Anolis sagrei: one gene and its partner. The protein of the gene in region 1 purifies or fractionates together with the protein of each later gene. This does not show direct contact. Links are inferred from orthologs where the notes say so. Each region holds a gene or a part of one and is shown on either strand. Other genes may lie near its edges.

Region 1 (8,261 bases):
TTTGTTCTTATCCCTTCCCACCCCGCACCCCCAGCCATATGAGTATCTGCCTTGGTTTGACTAGTTGTTTTGTCTGTATCTCCAACTGGAAATCAGATGTTGAAGGTAAGGCACCGTTTTAAAGTCTGCTGAAGTTTTTACAGTGAAGTGACCTAAAATTAGCATGTTGAATTAAAGTAATTTTGAGAAATAACTGTGTTAACAGATACATTTTAAAAGCTCCGTAATAGTTAAAAAAATATTTTAAGCTACTGTTCCAGATTTTGGTCTTTGGTAATATCTCATTCCCACATTATCCGAATGCTCAATCACCATCTCCCAAACCAGTTACTCTACTCCGAACTCAAGAGCGGGAAACGTAATGTTGGTGGACAGGAAAAGAGATTTAAAGATGAGCTTAAAGCCAACCTTAAAAACTGTGACATCGACACCAAGAACTGGGAAGCCCTGGCCCTTGAGCGCTCTAACTGGAGGTCAGCTGTGACTTACAGTGCTGCAGAATTTGAAGAGGCACGAATGGAGGGTGAAAGGGAGAAACATGCCAAGAGGAAGGCACGTCAAGCCAACCCTGACCAGGACCGACTTCTGTCTGGAAACCGATGTCCTCACTGCAGGAGAAGATGCAGATCAAGAATAGGGCTCCACAGCCACCTACCGACCCAGCGCCAAGACACCACATCTGGAAGACAATCATCCTCGAGCTACAAGGGATTGCCTAAGTATAAGTAATTGAAAGAGTGGTGCCTAAGATGAATGAAGATGGAGAACTACACTCATATGAAAGAAATAAGAGAAGCAGGGTTTATTATGAAGCAAACTATATTCCAAGTATTTTTGCGAGGTAGTGGTGTTGGTTAGAGCTTCATCCTGAGTGATTCTGGTCCATGAAAATTGATATCATAGAATCATAGAGTTGGAAGAGAACTCATGGGCCATCCAGTCCACCCCCCTGCCGAGAAGTATGAAAATCGCATTCAGAGCACCTCCGACAGATGGCCATCCAGCCTCTGCTTATGTTGGTTGCAATTCTTTATATACTTTTCCAGGTACAAAAAACTGAACAGAAGCATTCAGTGTTAGCCACAGACTATAAATCACATCTCCATTGTATCAATAATTGAAGGCGAGAATTATGTGGCCCTTCATATTGTTACTGAACTGTTGACGCCCAGCATAATCAGCTACACTGGTTCATGCAGATGGGAGATGCAATTCAATAACATCTGGAGGCCCTCACAATTGCCGTCTGGAAGTAATCTGATCTTACAAACCGAATTCATAAAAACCTTGGACCTAACAAACCTTCAGAGTTTATTTATAGAAGAATCCTAAGTATTTCTATTGAAAGATGGGGCTTATTTGGGCTTAAGCCTCGTTCCAGAGTAAATGGATAAAGGAATGCAGTTTAAAATAATCAAGCCAGCAGTACTATTATAGTTCCTCTTGTTTTAAAACTTCTGTCAATCTAATACACGGAGAACAGCCAGTACCAATATGAACGGAGGTATTTGATTTATACTGTCAACCCACAAATTGTTCATTATTTTAAGAACGCTCATGGAAACCAGTTACATACAAGGCCCAGAAAGCGTAGTTATGAACGACACAAAAATATTTTATACTGTCCTTGAGAGTGGGCTGCATTTTTTATATAAACATCACCTACGTGATACTATTTGCGTCTTTTAAAACTCTGTGTCTATTTTTATTGGGAAGGCTCTGGTGGAGTCTCTGGTCCTAAGCTGACCATTTTTGGATGACTCTAGAGCAAAGCTTCAAACTCATTTTCATGGAGGGCCACATCAGCTTCATGGTTGTCTTCAAAGAACTGTTGAATCCACAGATGGAAGACGTGGATACTGAGGGACAACTAGATTTTTAAAAATATAGTTTATTAAAAAAAAATTATCTCACCTTTCTCTACCCTGATGGGGATTTAAGGCAGCTTTACGTATGGCAACGATTCAATGCCTTTGGACAACAACAGTTAGAATACACTTAAATTAAAACTAAAATTAAAATTAAATGTACATTAAAACATATAAAACATAATGGCTTATACTCTTTAGTTTTCACCCAGTTCGGGTCCCCAGATGTTACTGAATTACAACTCCCATCACTTTTGATTATCTGCCACATGGATAATGTTTGGAAAAGGCATAACCTTTTGGAAAAGCATCTATAGCCTTTGGGGAAAACCAGAATTTTCAAAGTCTTTTGGAAAGGATTTTATTTATTGTATCAGGAGCTAACCAAGGGTACAGTTGCAATGTATTAAAACACACACAGTTTTAAAACCTGGCATTATAGAAAATGTTATTTGACCAGTAGCTGGCCACTTGGAAAGGATGACCTCAGGAGATTAATTAGCATTCACATTATTTGGAAAAATCATAAACCTTTTGTAAAGTATGATCTTCCTGAGAAGAGTTAAAAATTCATTTGAGTGAATCTCTTCTTTAGTGGTAAATATCCACTAGCATTCATGTAAGGCAAAATAGGTCTCACAGTTGTTGGACTAATATGCCTGATTATCTCTTTGAACTGTTAGTAACAAAGATTATGCCAATACACAAAATAAATAGCAAATTTATTTATTTATTATTTCGTTCATACACTTGTACCCCACCTTTCTCACCCCGAGAGGGGGACTCACAGCAAGCACCATTCGGTACTATCACAATCATAAAAACATTTAACAAATTCATTAAAACAACATTAAATAAACAGTTGTTAAAACACACCAGTCAAAACCAAAGTCCAGGTCAGTTCATTGTCACGCCAAATTGCTTATGTCTTCTTCTCACTTCTCTCACATCTTCAGAAGTGTTATTTCAGTTGCCCAAAAGACATCTACTCTCCCATAAAATATATTAGCTTTAAATCATGACCTCAAGAGACCAAAATAAGGTAGTCTTTGTTCAAAGTAACATAGTTGATTTAGTAAAACAGTCACAAAATATCAAAACATACAGTACAAGACATACCATATGTCAAAATTTCACAGGTTAAAATACATATAAAATATAATTATATATCTCTATAATTAAAAGTTATCTGTTATCAGCATCGCCACAAGGTAAACTTGATGGTTGTCTACTTTCCCTCTTCTCCACAGGCTAATTCACACAGATGAGTTTTTAATTGCTTCTTAAAAGAGAGGAGTGATGGGGCCGTTCTGATTTCTTTAGGGAGGGAGTTCTAGAGGGAACGGGCAACCACGGAGAAGGCCCCCTCTGTTGTTCCTACCAGCCATGCTTGAGAATTGGGTGGGACTGAGAGCAGGCCTCCCTCCGTTGATCACAGCGTCCTGACAGGTTTATACTCGGGGGTGCGATTTGTCAAATAGTCTGGGCCTGAACCATTTAGGGCTTTATAGGCAATGACAGCACTTTGTATTTAGCTCAAAAGTGGAGCTGCCGTAGCATGGGAGTTATCCGCTCCCGGTTAGTAGTCTGGTAGCTGATCTCTGCACTAGTTGAAGTTTCCAAACTGTCTTCAAAGACAGTCCATGTGGAGAGCATTGCAGTAGTTCAAACGGGATGTAACTAAAGCGTGGTAAATCATGGCCAGATCTAGCATCTCATGGTACGGATGCAGATGGCGCACAACTTTTAATTGTGCGAAGGTGCTCCTGGCCACTGCTGACACTTGGGTTTCCAGAGTGAACGATGAGTCCAGGATCACCCCCAGACTGCGAACCTGCATCTTCAGGGGGAGTGTGAAGCCCATCGAACACAGGCTGCAATCCTATACTCTGGTCCGCCTTCTGACTGACTGGGAGTACCTCTGTCTTGCTTGGATTCAACTTCAATTTGTTGAAGTTGAATCCATTACTGATGTCAGGCACTGGTTCAGGACCTGGATGGCATCCTTGGCTTTAGTTGGGTGTCATCGGCATAAAGGTTATCTGGATTTCGATTTCTAGATATACGGTGCTCGGGATATATAAATGGGGATGCAAAAGCCTTAGGATGCATCTTGAATGATCACTGTTTGGCCCCACTTGAACCGCCATGGTTCAATTAATGCTCTGGAATCACTGAATCATCGAATTGGAAGAGACCACATGGGCCATCTAGTCCAACCCCCTGCCATGCAGGAAAAACACAAAGTGCCCCTGACAGTTGGCCATCCAACCTCTGTTTAAAAGTTTCCAAGGAAGGAGCTTTCACCACACTCTGAGGCAGAGAGTTCCACTGTTGAACAGCTTGTACAGTCAGGAAGGGTCCTTCTAGACAGGCCCTATATCCCAGGATCTGAACTCAGGTTTTCTGCTTTAAACTGAATTATCTGAGTCTGATAATCTGGGATAAACAGAAAACCTGGGATCGGATCTTGGGATATAGGGCCTGCCTGGAAGGGCCTGAATGTTCTTCCTAATGTTCTGCTGGAATGTCCTTTCCTGTAATTTGAGTTGCAATCATGAAGTTGTAATTTTGGTGAGACGCCAGTACTCTTTGGCAGAGAAGGCGAAAGATCTTGTGAAAGGTCAGCTCCCAAGACACCAAGGAGCACAATTTGAATTTTTAAAAAATCTGTTCTTGCTTTGAAAGTGTTATTTCCTGTGTAATTGTGTGAGGCTGACTTTGGAAGTAGTTGTTCTACTCCAGAAACTCCAGGTGTTCATTGAAAAAGTATAGCAAAATGTGCTGCGTGATGTCCCATGGAAACAAAGTTTTTGTAGTTGGATAAACTCCCCCCCCCCCAATGCTTTTATGAGAGAGGAAATGAGGAAATGACATTGACAACCCAGGAACAAAAGTCGTATTACATGTTTCCATGAGTGATGGCAGTCAAAGTGGTGTTAAACTGCATACATTCTACAGCAGGCCTGGGCAAACTTGGGCCCTCCAGATGTTTTGGAATACAGCGCCCACCATTCCTAACAGCCTGTTAGGAATGGTGGGAGCTGAAGTCCAAACATCTGGAGGGCCCAAGTTTGTGTAGTGGAGACACAGCTGGGATGAGAATCAGAGTATGTCCTGCAGGGGGCGCGCCAGAGCGCCTGGCTTTGCGCCGGGAGGAAATGATGCGCCTGCTGCTGCTGCCGCCGCCTGGTTAATTACAGCCCCAGACGCTCATTGGCGGAGCCGGGAGCGGCCATGTCTGCCTCCCTCTTTCTCTCCAATGCAGCTGGGGAGCCCCTCCTCCTCCTCCGCCTCCTCCTCCCTTTCCGAGGGAGAAGCCAGACCAGCCTCTGACCCCCTCCCTGCCTCCCTCCCTCTTCTCGCCTTCCTTCTCGCAGGAACTTTGCGCTCCGGCCAACTTCGCCTTGCAGCGGCTCCTTCCGTCTCCTTCCTTCCTTTCTTTCCAGCCGCAGAGCCGCCGCCAAGCCCATGGAGAGGCATTTTCTCCTCCTCCTCCTCCTCCTCTAGCTGCGCCTGGGGATCCCGCCCCTGCTCTGCCTTTGTCTGCGCTGCTGCTGCTGCTATGAGGAGGTAAGCTGGAGCGCCCCCCCTCCTCCCCAAATCTGGAGCCCAAAGGCAAAGCCTGCTCTCCTTCCCAGCCCTTCCTTCTCAGCCCTCTTCTTCCCAGCTTTTTCCTTCTCTTCGCTTCTTCCTTCTCTCCTTCCCAGCCCTTCCTTCCCGTCTCCTTCCCAGCATTTCCCCTTCCTTCCCAACCCTCCCCTTTCCAGTTTTTTCCATCTCTGGGCTCCTTCCTTCTCTCCTTCCCAAACCTTCTTTATCCTCTCTCCCCCAACACTTTTTCCTTTCCTTCCCAGACCTCTCTTTCCTAGCTTTTTCCTTCTCTCCTTCCTTTTCCTTCCCAGCTCTCTTCTTCCCAGCGTTTTCCTTCTCTGGGCTCGTTCTCTCCTTCCCAGACCTTCCTTCTTTACTCCTTCCTTTTCCTTCCCCGCTTTTTCCTTCTCTGGTCTCCTTCCTTCTCTCCTGGTCTCCTTCCCAGCACTTCCCCCTTTCCTTCCCAACCCTCTCCTTTCCAGCTTTTTCCATCTCTGAACTCCTGCCTTCTCCTTCCCAAACCTTCCTTCTCTCCCTCCCAACATTTTCCCCTTTCCTTCCCACCCCTCTCTTTCCCAGCTTTTTCCTTCTCTCGGCTCTTTCCTTCCATCTTTCCTTCCCTTTCCAGCTCTTTCCTTCTCTAGTCTCCTTCCTTCTCTCCTTCCCAGCCCTTCCTTCTTTTCTCCTTCCCAGTTCTCTTCTTCCCAACTTTTTCCTTCTCTGGGATCCTTCCTTCTCAACTTCCCAGCCCTTCCTTCTTCTTCCCTTCCCAGCCCTCTTCTTCCCAACCTTTTCCTTCTCTGGACTCTATTTCTCTTCTTCCCAACCCTTACTTCTTTCCCAGCCTTTTCCTTCTTTGGGCTCCTTTCTTCTCTCCTTCCCAAACCTTCCTTCTTTCTGTTCTTACCAGCCTGTCTTTCTCTCTCCTTCCCAGCCTTCTTTTCTCTCCTTTCTCTACTTCTCTTCTTTCAAGCCCTCCCTTCTCTCATTCTTTTCCAGACCTTTCTTCTCTTCTCTTCAGCCTTTTCTCCTCTCCTTTCCAGATCTTCCTTCCTTCTTGCCTTTCTTTTCCTTGTGAGGGAAGAAGGGGAAGCTATGCCAATCCCTCTTTATATGATCCATTGTTATATATATTTAAAAACAACTCAGTGCCTGCCTTTTCTGCAGTGATTGCTGTTTTGTCCCCAGCTCTGTCTATGGAGGCGTTTTTTGTTTTTGTGGGCGCGACTCTTTGGGAATCCTTCATTAAAAAATAAAATCTCTCTTTGGGCACATCTCTACTGTAGAATGAATGCAGACCGAAACCGCTTTAACTACAGTAGCTGAATGCTAGGGAATTCTGGGAGTTATTGTTTTCTCCTCTTTAGCAGAGAAGGCTGGAAACCTTGCAAAACTGTACCTTCTATGTTTTCCATAGCACTGAGTTAGTATATAGTTTGGTGTGGCGCCAGCACTCTTGGACAGAGAAGGCTTCCATGGCATAAAGTGGCATCAATCTGCTCTAACTCTATAGTGTAGATCAGGCATAGGCAAACTTTGGCCCTCCAGGAGTTCTAAAATTCAACTCCTAACAGCCGGCTGAGATTTCTGGGAGTTGAAGTCTAAAACAGTGGGTTGCGGTGAGTTTTCTGGGCTGTATAGCCCCCAGTGGTGCAGTGGGTGAAAGCGCTGAGCTGCTGAGCTTGTTGACCGAAATGTCACAGGTTCGAATCCGGGGAGCAGCGTGAGCTTCCACTGTCAGCCCCAGCTTCTGCCAACCTAGCAGTTTGAAAACGTGCAAATGACAGTAGATCATTAGGTACCGCTCTGGCGGGAAGGTAACAGCACTCCATGCAGTCATGCCAGCCACATGACCTTGGAGGTTTCTACGGACAATGCCGGCTCTTTGGCTTAGAAAGATGAGCACCACACCCCAGATTCGGACATGACTGGGCTTCATGTCAGGGGAAAACCTTTACCTATAGCCATGTTCCAGAAGCATTCTCTCCTGACGTTTTACCCTCATCTTATAATGGGAACATCCTCAGAAGCTGAGGGGTTTGTTGGAAACTCGGCAAGGTGGGAGAAAGAATTCTTGTCTGTTTGAGGCAAGTGTGAATGTTGCAATTGGCCACCTTGATTAGCATTGAAAGGCATTGTAGCTTCAACACCTAGCTGGTTGCTGCCCCCGAGGGTCCTTTATTAGGAGGTGTTAGCTGACCCTGAGTGATTATTGTCCGGAATTCCTTTGTTGTTTGAATCTTCCTCTTTATTTACTGTCCTGATTTTAGAGTTTTTAAAATACTGGTAGCTAGATTTTGTTCATTTTCATGGTTTCCTCCTTTTTGTTGAAATTGTCCACATACTTGTGGATTTCAGTGGCTTCCTTGTGTCATCTGACATGGTGGTTGTGAGAGTGGTCCGGCATTTATGTGTTCTCAAATAATATGCTGTGTCCAAGTTGGTTCATCAGGTGCTCTGCTATGGCTGACTTCCCTGGTTGAATGAGTCTGCAGTGCCTTTCATGTTCCTTGATTTGTGCTTGGGCAATTTTGTGTTTGGTGGTCCCTATGTAGACTTGTCCACAGCTGCATGGTATATGGTAGATTCCTGCAGAGGTGGGAGGATCCCTCTTGTCTAAAGTTTGGCCCTCCATTCCAAAACAACTGGAGGGCCAAAGTTTGCCCATGTCTGGTGTAGATACTCTCTTGTTTCCACCAGGAAGATCTATTCCAACTTTGGAAACTTGGCTGATTGAGGTGGAGCAAAGGCATCCTTTAATGATCTTGCCAAGCAAGGAGGGAGGGAAGAGAGGAAGGA
Region 2 (7,537 bases), on another chromosome or scaffold:
TCTCCCAAACTAAATACAGTATGACCTGATACAATCTTGAACATATTACGAAAACAGAAAACTTTGAAAAATAAAGAACCCTATTGAAATGAGTAATTTTCTGAGGGAGTCACATTGGAGGACCTAAAAGGTTCTTAGAAAAGAATCCTTTCTAGGAATTTGCTAGTTTTTCCAGTATGAACGTTTTTCCAATGATAACTACCAGCATGAATACACCACAGAATTGGATGGAAGTCCTAGAAAATTACTAGAGATAACACATTTTGTCAGATGAGGGTAAATGAAATTACATGAACTGGTCTCACTGGTATGACAGTCAAAAAATCCCAATTATCTCAACAGGACTTAAAGAACCAAAGCTTGATTGTTGATGCATCAATGGGACTCAAGAAATGGGTAAGAAAAATCTTATTCCATTCACAAGGCTTTCTTTTAGCCTATTATTTTAGTGTTAGCCCACTCGGAATCTACTTTTTTACAGGTTGTTGCCAGGATTTCTATTAATGTTTAACTTCTTGGATCATGTGCAAAATACAGAAATACTCTTATGATTACGGTACTAATTTGTATACTGAGGGTTGATTATTGAAAATGTAACAATGACTAGAGATTTTTAAAAAGCAGAACAAGTAAATGTTACCACATACACACACTAACGACAAAGTGATTAATTTGCAATTGTGAAATTCAACATGTTTGTTCCTCCCATAAGAATTCCTGTTAAACAGAATAAAACTACAGCACCTTCCTTAAGTTAGAAATTATGTCATGCTTTCCAAAAGTGTTAAGTGTAGTTCGCTTGACAAAAGCACAGTTTCACAGATCATTGATTCAGGACATTGCTATTTACTATCTGTTAGAAGCAGAAACAGAGACGGTTGTGAATGTCATGACTTTCCATACTGGTCTATTGTCAACATTTTCAGAAGGATAGTACTGCTTTCTCTGTTCCCAAAGTTGAAGACAGAATATGTACATGGGCTATGCCACTTCTCTTGGGCTTTCAAAACAAAGATTGTGGCATTTTTCAATCCATTCCAACTTTTCCAATCAATACAGTAAGTTCTTCTCCACTGGCATCTCAACAGGCATTTAGAATTGAGATAATATAAGTTCCTTGGTTACTTATTACTACACTTGTTTGCCTATATAGTGCCAGCAATGTGTATAACATTTCACAAATAAAACAACCAAAAAAAAAAAAAACATAGCTCCTGTCAAACATGTACAACTCAATATCGCTTGATTTTTGGATTTAAAAAATATTTCCAAGGTATGGATAGTAGGATTTGTGGATGCAGAATCCGCGGATACAGAGGGCCAACTGAAGTATTACCTCCCAAGCTCTGCTGTTCCAGGTATTTTGAACTTTGGCACTCCGGTTGGATCTACACCACCACATAATCCAATTATAAAAGCATATAATTCAGATTATCTGCTTTGGACTGGGTTATATGAGTCTACACTGCCATATAATCCAGTTAAAAACAGATAATCTGTATTTGGAAGTGGAGATAGGGACTAAGAATCCCTGTTCATTACCAAAGACATTTGAGGCTTCTGTGAGTTGAAGACCACTGAAGTCCAAAACACCTGGAGGGCTAGAGTTTGGAGATTACTAATGTAGACACTGCACTCCTATTGATGCAACCATTCCTCACACTGTAGGCTCTTCATCTTGAGAAACAAGACATTGGGGGGGGGGGGGGGGGGACCTACACAGCACAACAACAAATAATTCTTAGTGTTTTAGGGTCCTTCCACACAGCCCTATATACCAGAATATCAAGGCAGAAAATCCCACAGTATCTGCTTTGAATTGGGTTATCTGAGTCCACACTCAGATAATGTGGGATTTTCTGCCTTGATATTCTGGAATATAGGGCTGTGTGGATGGGCCCTTGGTTTCGATGCCTGTTCTTGGTGTTATTTGGGGCACTGATTCAGACAATTGCATTGGATAGACCGCATCAGGTCTACCTCTTAGGCCCCTTCCACACAGCTAAATAAAACCCCACATTTTCTGCTCTGAACTGGAATATATGGTAGTGTGGACTCAGACAACCCGCTTCAAAGCAGATATTGTTGGATTTTCTGCCTTGATATTCTGGATTATATGGCTATGTGAAAGGGCCCTTAGGCTCCTTCTACACAGCTGTATAAAATCCACATTATCTGGATTTTTTTGGCAGTATAGACTATGGCCCCTTCTGCACGGTCAGATCCAGGTTATCAAAGCAGAAAATGAGCAGATGACAACTCGTAGATGGCATATATTATGTATCCCAAAAACTAAAGCTGATGGGGGAAGACTGGTGCCATTTTTGGAATCAGCAGGTCAAATATGCCCAGAAACAGGGATAACACTTGTGGCAGCAAAATGTGTGTAGTTAATGCAGAAGGGCACTACTGTTAATTGCCATGGCTGGATGCTTTGGGTGTTGCAGTTGTACAAGGTCTTTGAGCGCTCTCTGTCAAAGAGGGCAAGCGCCTCACCAAAGGACAACTCCAGCCCCTTCCATACAGGTGTATAAACTGCACTCTGAACTGGATTATAGGGCAGTGTGGACTCAGGGCTATATAACCCCGAATATCAAGGCAGAAAATCCCACAATATCTGCTTTGAACTGGGTTATCTGAGTCCACACTGTCATATATTCCAGTTCAAAGCAGAAAATGTGGGGTTTTTATTCAGCTGTGTGGAAGAGGCTAATCCCAGTTCAAAGCAGATATTGTGGATTGATATTCCGATATGATCTGGCTGTGTGGAAGGGCCCTCCCACAGTTCCATTGGGCGCTTAGCCATGGCAATTAAATAGGTGCCAAACTGCATTGATCCTGCAATGTGGGTGCAGTTTCAATGCATTGTGAAGGCTTTCATGGCCGGAATCGCGGGTTGTTGTAGGTTTTTCGGGCTGTATGCTTGCCACAGATGCAGGAGAGAACGCTTCAAGAATATGCCCATACAGCCCGAAAAACCTACGACAACCCGGTGCACTTTCAGCCTGCAACACAGCCGCCCTCCCTCCCTCTCAAGCGAGAGACCCAGAGGCATGGCTGTGCGGACCAACCCCTCAAGAGCAGGCCGGGCTGGAGCCTGCCCGCCCTGCCACCCCTTCTTACCCCGCCTGCCAGGGCCCGGGCCTGCTCTCTTCCCCTTCCTCACGCAAGGCCCCGGCGTTGCCTGCCTGCCTCGGCCGCGGCTGAGCTTCTTCCTCCGGGGGCGGCTCCCGGGGCCTTCCGGTCACAAGGCAGGCGGAGAGGCTCCTCCCACTCTTGGAGCGCTATCGTGCCTGCTGGGGTTGCCATGGCGACCTTTCTGCGGGATTCTGGGGCTGGTAGTACCGTGGCCACCCAAGGGATCTCCGCCTGGGAAGCCTGTATCTCCCTCGCAGAAGGATTAATGCAGTTGCACCCTGCCCTGGCTGAATGCTAGGGAAAATCATGGGAGTTGTTGTTGCACAAGGCCTTGGAACCTTCTCTGCCCAAGAGAACTACAACTCCCATAATCCCGTAGCATTGAGCCCTGGCTGTCAAAGCGGTGCCAAATGCATTCATTCTAGATCAGGCTGTTAGGAATTGTGGGAGTTGAAGTCCAAAACACCTGGAGGGCCCAAGTTTGTCCATGCCTGTTCTAGGTAAAACGTAAAGATCTCCCTTGACGTTAAGTACAGTCGTGTCCAACTCTTGGGAGGGGGAGTGATCATCTCCATATTTAAGCCAAAGAGCTGGCATTGTCCTTAGACACCTCCATGGTCCTCCATCACTCATCCATGATAGCAAACTCCCACCATCCTACAACAGCGGGAGATGGCACCGAGGTTATAACCCAGACCTCTTATTTGTGAGCGACAGCATCGTACAGCAATGCACCAAATCAGTGGGACCACCAATCCCAAACACACAGCACCGACCAATAATATGCCAACTGTTCCCAACAATAAGGCCTCAGGAAGTTCGATTTAAACGAAGATACAACTTCAGAAAGGCAGATTGGACTAAATTCTCAGACATGTTAGACGACATGATCACATCGGTCGCGCCAGTCCCTGAGGAATACGAACATTTTATTGAAATAGTGAAAACCTGCTCACGGGCCTCTATACCGAGAGGCTGCAGAACCCACTACCTCCAGGGCATTACTTCTGAAACAGCTGCCTTGTTGGAAAATTATTACAGGCTCCACAACGAAGACCCATTCAGTGAGCAGACTCTTCAGGCAGCGCAGAGCATTGTGTCCTCCATCTCTGAAGCCAAGAAAGAACAGTGGATCAAGTTGATCACAGAGGTCGACATGGGCAGGAGCAGCCAGAAGGCGTGGAGGCTGCTGAGACGGCTGAGCAACGATCCCTCACAAACTAATACCCATGCCAACATAAAGGCAGATCAGATAGCACACCAACTCTTGAAGAATGGGAAACCCAACCTTGCCACCAAAGTAGGAAAGAAACCAATAGCCAGACAGCCGGAGATTGAGAACAACAACCTCCATGAACCCTTTACATCTACTGAATTGGACATGGCTCTCAACAAATGTAAGAATGGCAAAGCAGCTGGCTTGGATGATCTACGGATGGAACAAATCAAGAACTTTGGTCCAAAAGCAAGGCGCTGGCTGCTGGAGCTGATGAACAACTGCACTGCATCCTGTCAGATCCCCAAAATCTGGAGGAAAGCAAGAGTCATCGCCATCTTGAAGCCAGGCAAAGACCGTAATGACCCAAAAAGCTACAGACCAATCTCCCTGTTGTGCCACCTCTACAAAGTTCTGGAGAGACTTATTTTGCATAGAATTATGGAAAATATAGACCCCTGTCTGATCCCACAGCAAGCTGGCTTCAGAAAAGGCAAAAGCTGCACATCGCAAGTGCTGAACCTGACCCAGCACATAGAAGATGGCTTTGAAAGGCAGCAGATCACAGGAGCTGTCTTCATAGACTTGTCAGCAGCCTATGATACTGTGAACCACCGCCTCCTCCTGAGAAAAATGTATAATATCACAAAGGACTACCACCTCACCCGCCTCATAGGAAACCTGCTACAAAACAGGAGCTTTTTTGTTGAGTTCCAGGGCCAGAGAAGCAGATGGCGGAAACAGAAGAACGGCCTGCCTCAGGGGAGCGTGCTTGCTCCATCCATGTTCAACATCTACACAAATGACCAGCCACTGCCAGAAGGGACAGAGAGTTTCATCTATGCTGACGATCGTGCCATTACTGCTCAAGCAGGGAGCTTTGAGATGGTAGAACAGAAGCTCTCCGAAGCTCTAGGTGCTCTTACTGCCTATTACAGGGAAAACCATCTGATCCCTAATCCATCTAAAACACAGACATGCGCCTTTCACCTTAAGAACAGACAAGCATCCCGAGCTCTGAGGATTACCTGGGAAGGAATCCCACTGGAGCATTGCAGCACACCCAAATACCTGGGAGTCACTTTGGACCGTGCTCTGACCTACAAGAAGCACTGCCTGAACATCAAACAAAAAGTGGGCACTAGAAACAACATCATACGAAAGCTGACTGGCACAACCTGGGGATCACAACCAGACACAGTGAAGACATCTGCCCTTGCGCTATGCTACTCTGCTGCTGAGTATGCATGCCCAGTGTGGAACACATCTCATCACACTAAAACAGTGGATGTGGCTCTTAATGAGACATGCCGCATTATCACGGGGTGTCTGCGACCCACACCACTGGAGAAATTACACTGCTTAGCCGGTATTGCACCACCTGACATCCGCCGGGAAGTAGCAGCCAATAGTGAAAGGACCAAGGCAGAGACATCTCCAGCTCATCCCCTGTTTGGGTATCAGCCAGCACGTCAACGACTTAAATCAAGACATAGTTTTCTTAGATCTACAGAGACACTTGCTGGAACACCCCAGCAAGCGAGAGTCCAAAAGTGGCAGGCCCAAACCCAGCACCTCAATTCATGGGTGATACCAGATGAGAGACTCCCCCCTGGGCACTCAGAAGACTGGGCGACTTGGAAGGCGCTGAACAGATTGCGCTCACGAGATGCAGAGCCAATCTTAAGAAATGGGGCTACAGGGTGGAATCCTCGGCATGCGAGTGCGGAGAAGAACAAACCACTGACCACCTGCTGCAATGCACCCTGAGCCCTGCCACATGCACGATGGAGGACCTTCTTGCGGCAACCCCAGAGGCACTCCAAGTGGCCAGATACTGGTCAAAGGACATTTAACCAAATACCAAATTTACAAAATCTGTGTGGTTTTTTTTCTTTCTTTTTTTTTCTTTTTCTTTTTAATCTCTGTGTTTGTTTTGCTCTGTTGGAATTGTAATACAATGGTTGCTGATGACACGATAAATAAATACCTCCATGGTCATGTGGCCAGCATGACTGCACCACTAATCTCACTTGCTTATATGGTTATAACTCTGAGAATCACACATAAATTGATCTTCCTTTTTTCAAAAAGAAAAGAGCCAACTATGCAATTGGCCTCTCCTGGAATGCATTAAGATGGAAATGAATTCTGAACTCTTGACTATACAGTGTTCCCTCACTACTTCGTGGTTCGTTTTTAGCAGACTCTCTGTTTCACGGGTTTTTGAAAATATCAATATAAAATATTTACATCCAGTGGAGGCCAGGGACCCCAGAAGTGCAGCTTGCCTGAGGGACGGCGGGGAAGGCCTGCCTCCCTAGCCTCCACAGACCCTGGAAGTGTGGTGGCCTGAGGTGTGGTGGGAAAGGCCTGCCTTCCTGGCCTGCTGCCACCTGCATGGCTCTGGAATGACTGCCGGGGTCTGTGGAGGCCAGGGAGGCAGGCAGGCGCTCTTGGGATGGGCCGGGAGTCAGGTAAGGCAGCACGCGTAAGAATATATAAAATAATGTTTAAATATTAAAATTAATATGGCGTCCCTACTTTGCAGATTCTCACTTATCGCGGGTGGTCCTGGAACGGAACCCCCGTGATAAGTGAGTGAACACTGTATCTTCTTTCTTTTATATATATAAAAAAATGCTCTGTTCATTTTGAGTGACATCATAACTCAACTGGACGAATTGCCACCAAATTTGGCTACAAGGCACCTCTTAACCCAAGGAGTGACCATCACTCAAAAATTGATTTTGTCATTTGGGAGTTGTAGATACTGGGATTTATAGTTAACCTACAATCAAAGAGCATTCTGAACTCCACCAATGATGGAATTGAACCAAATGTGGCACACAGAACTCCCATGACCAACAGAAAATACTGGATGGGTTTGGTGAGCATTGACCTTGAGTTCTGGAGTTGTATTTCACCTACATTCAAAGAGCACTGTGGACCCAAACAATGATGGATTTAGACCAAACTTGGCACGAATACTCCACATGCCCAAATGTGAACACTGGTGGAGTTTGGGGAAAAGAAACGTGACATTTGGGAGTTGCAGTTGCTGGGATTTATAGTTCACATATAATCAAAGAGCATTCTGAACCCCATTCAACCAGGCCCGTAGCCAGGATTTTGATTCGGGGGGGCTGAGTCTAAGTGAAAGAGGGTTTACCCTAGCAAACC

Evidence for each region.
Region 2: the proteins of ACVR1 (region 1) and TGFBRAP1 purify together in Homo sapiens (co-immunoprecipitation; 3 studies listed by BioGRID and IntAct, counting the BioPlex papers as one, with this or other methods). This does not show direct contact. The link is inferred for Anolis sagrei from reciprocal best matches to the Homo sapiens genes ACVR1 and TGFBRAP1.

What each region holds. Positions count from the first base shown.
Region 1 is NC_090021.1:201,736,185-201,744,445, forward strand, and holds the start of ACVR1 (activin receptor type-1), read left to right. Parts: upstream 1-5,150; 5' UTR 5,151-5,433; coding exon 5,434-5,441; intron 5,442-8,261. UniProt on the Homo sapiens protein: Bone morphogenetic protein (BMP) type I receptor that is involved in a wide variety of biological processes, including bone, heart, cartilage, nervous, and reproductive system development and regulation.
Region 2 is NC_090023.1:105,840,236-105,847,772, forward strand, and holds the start of TGFBRAP1 (transforming growth factor-beta receptor-associated protein 1), read right to left. Parts: upstream 3,250-7,537; 5' UTR 3,129-3,249; exon of another isoform or gene 3,124-3,128; intron 1-3,123. UniProt on the Homo sapiens protein: Plays a role in the TGF-beta/activin signaling pathway. It associates with inactive heteromeric TGF-beta and activin receptor complexes, mainly through the type II receptor, and is released upon activation of signaling.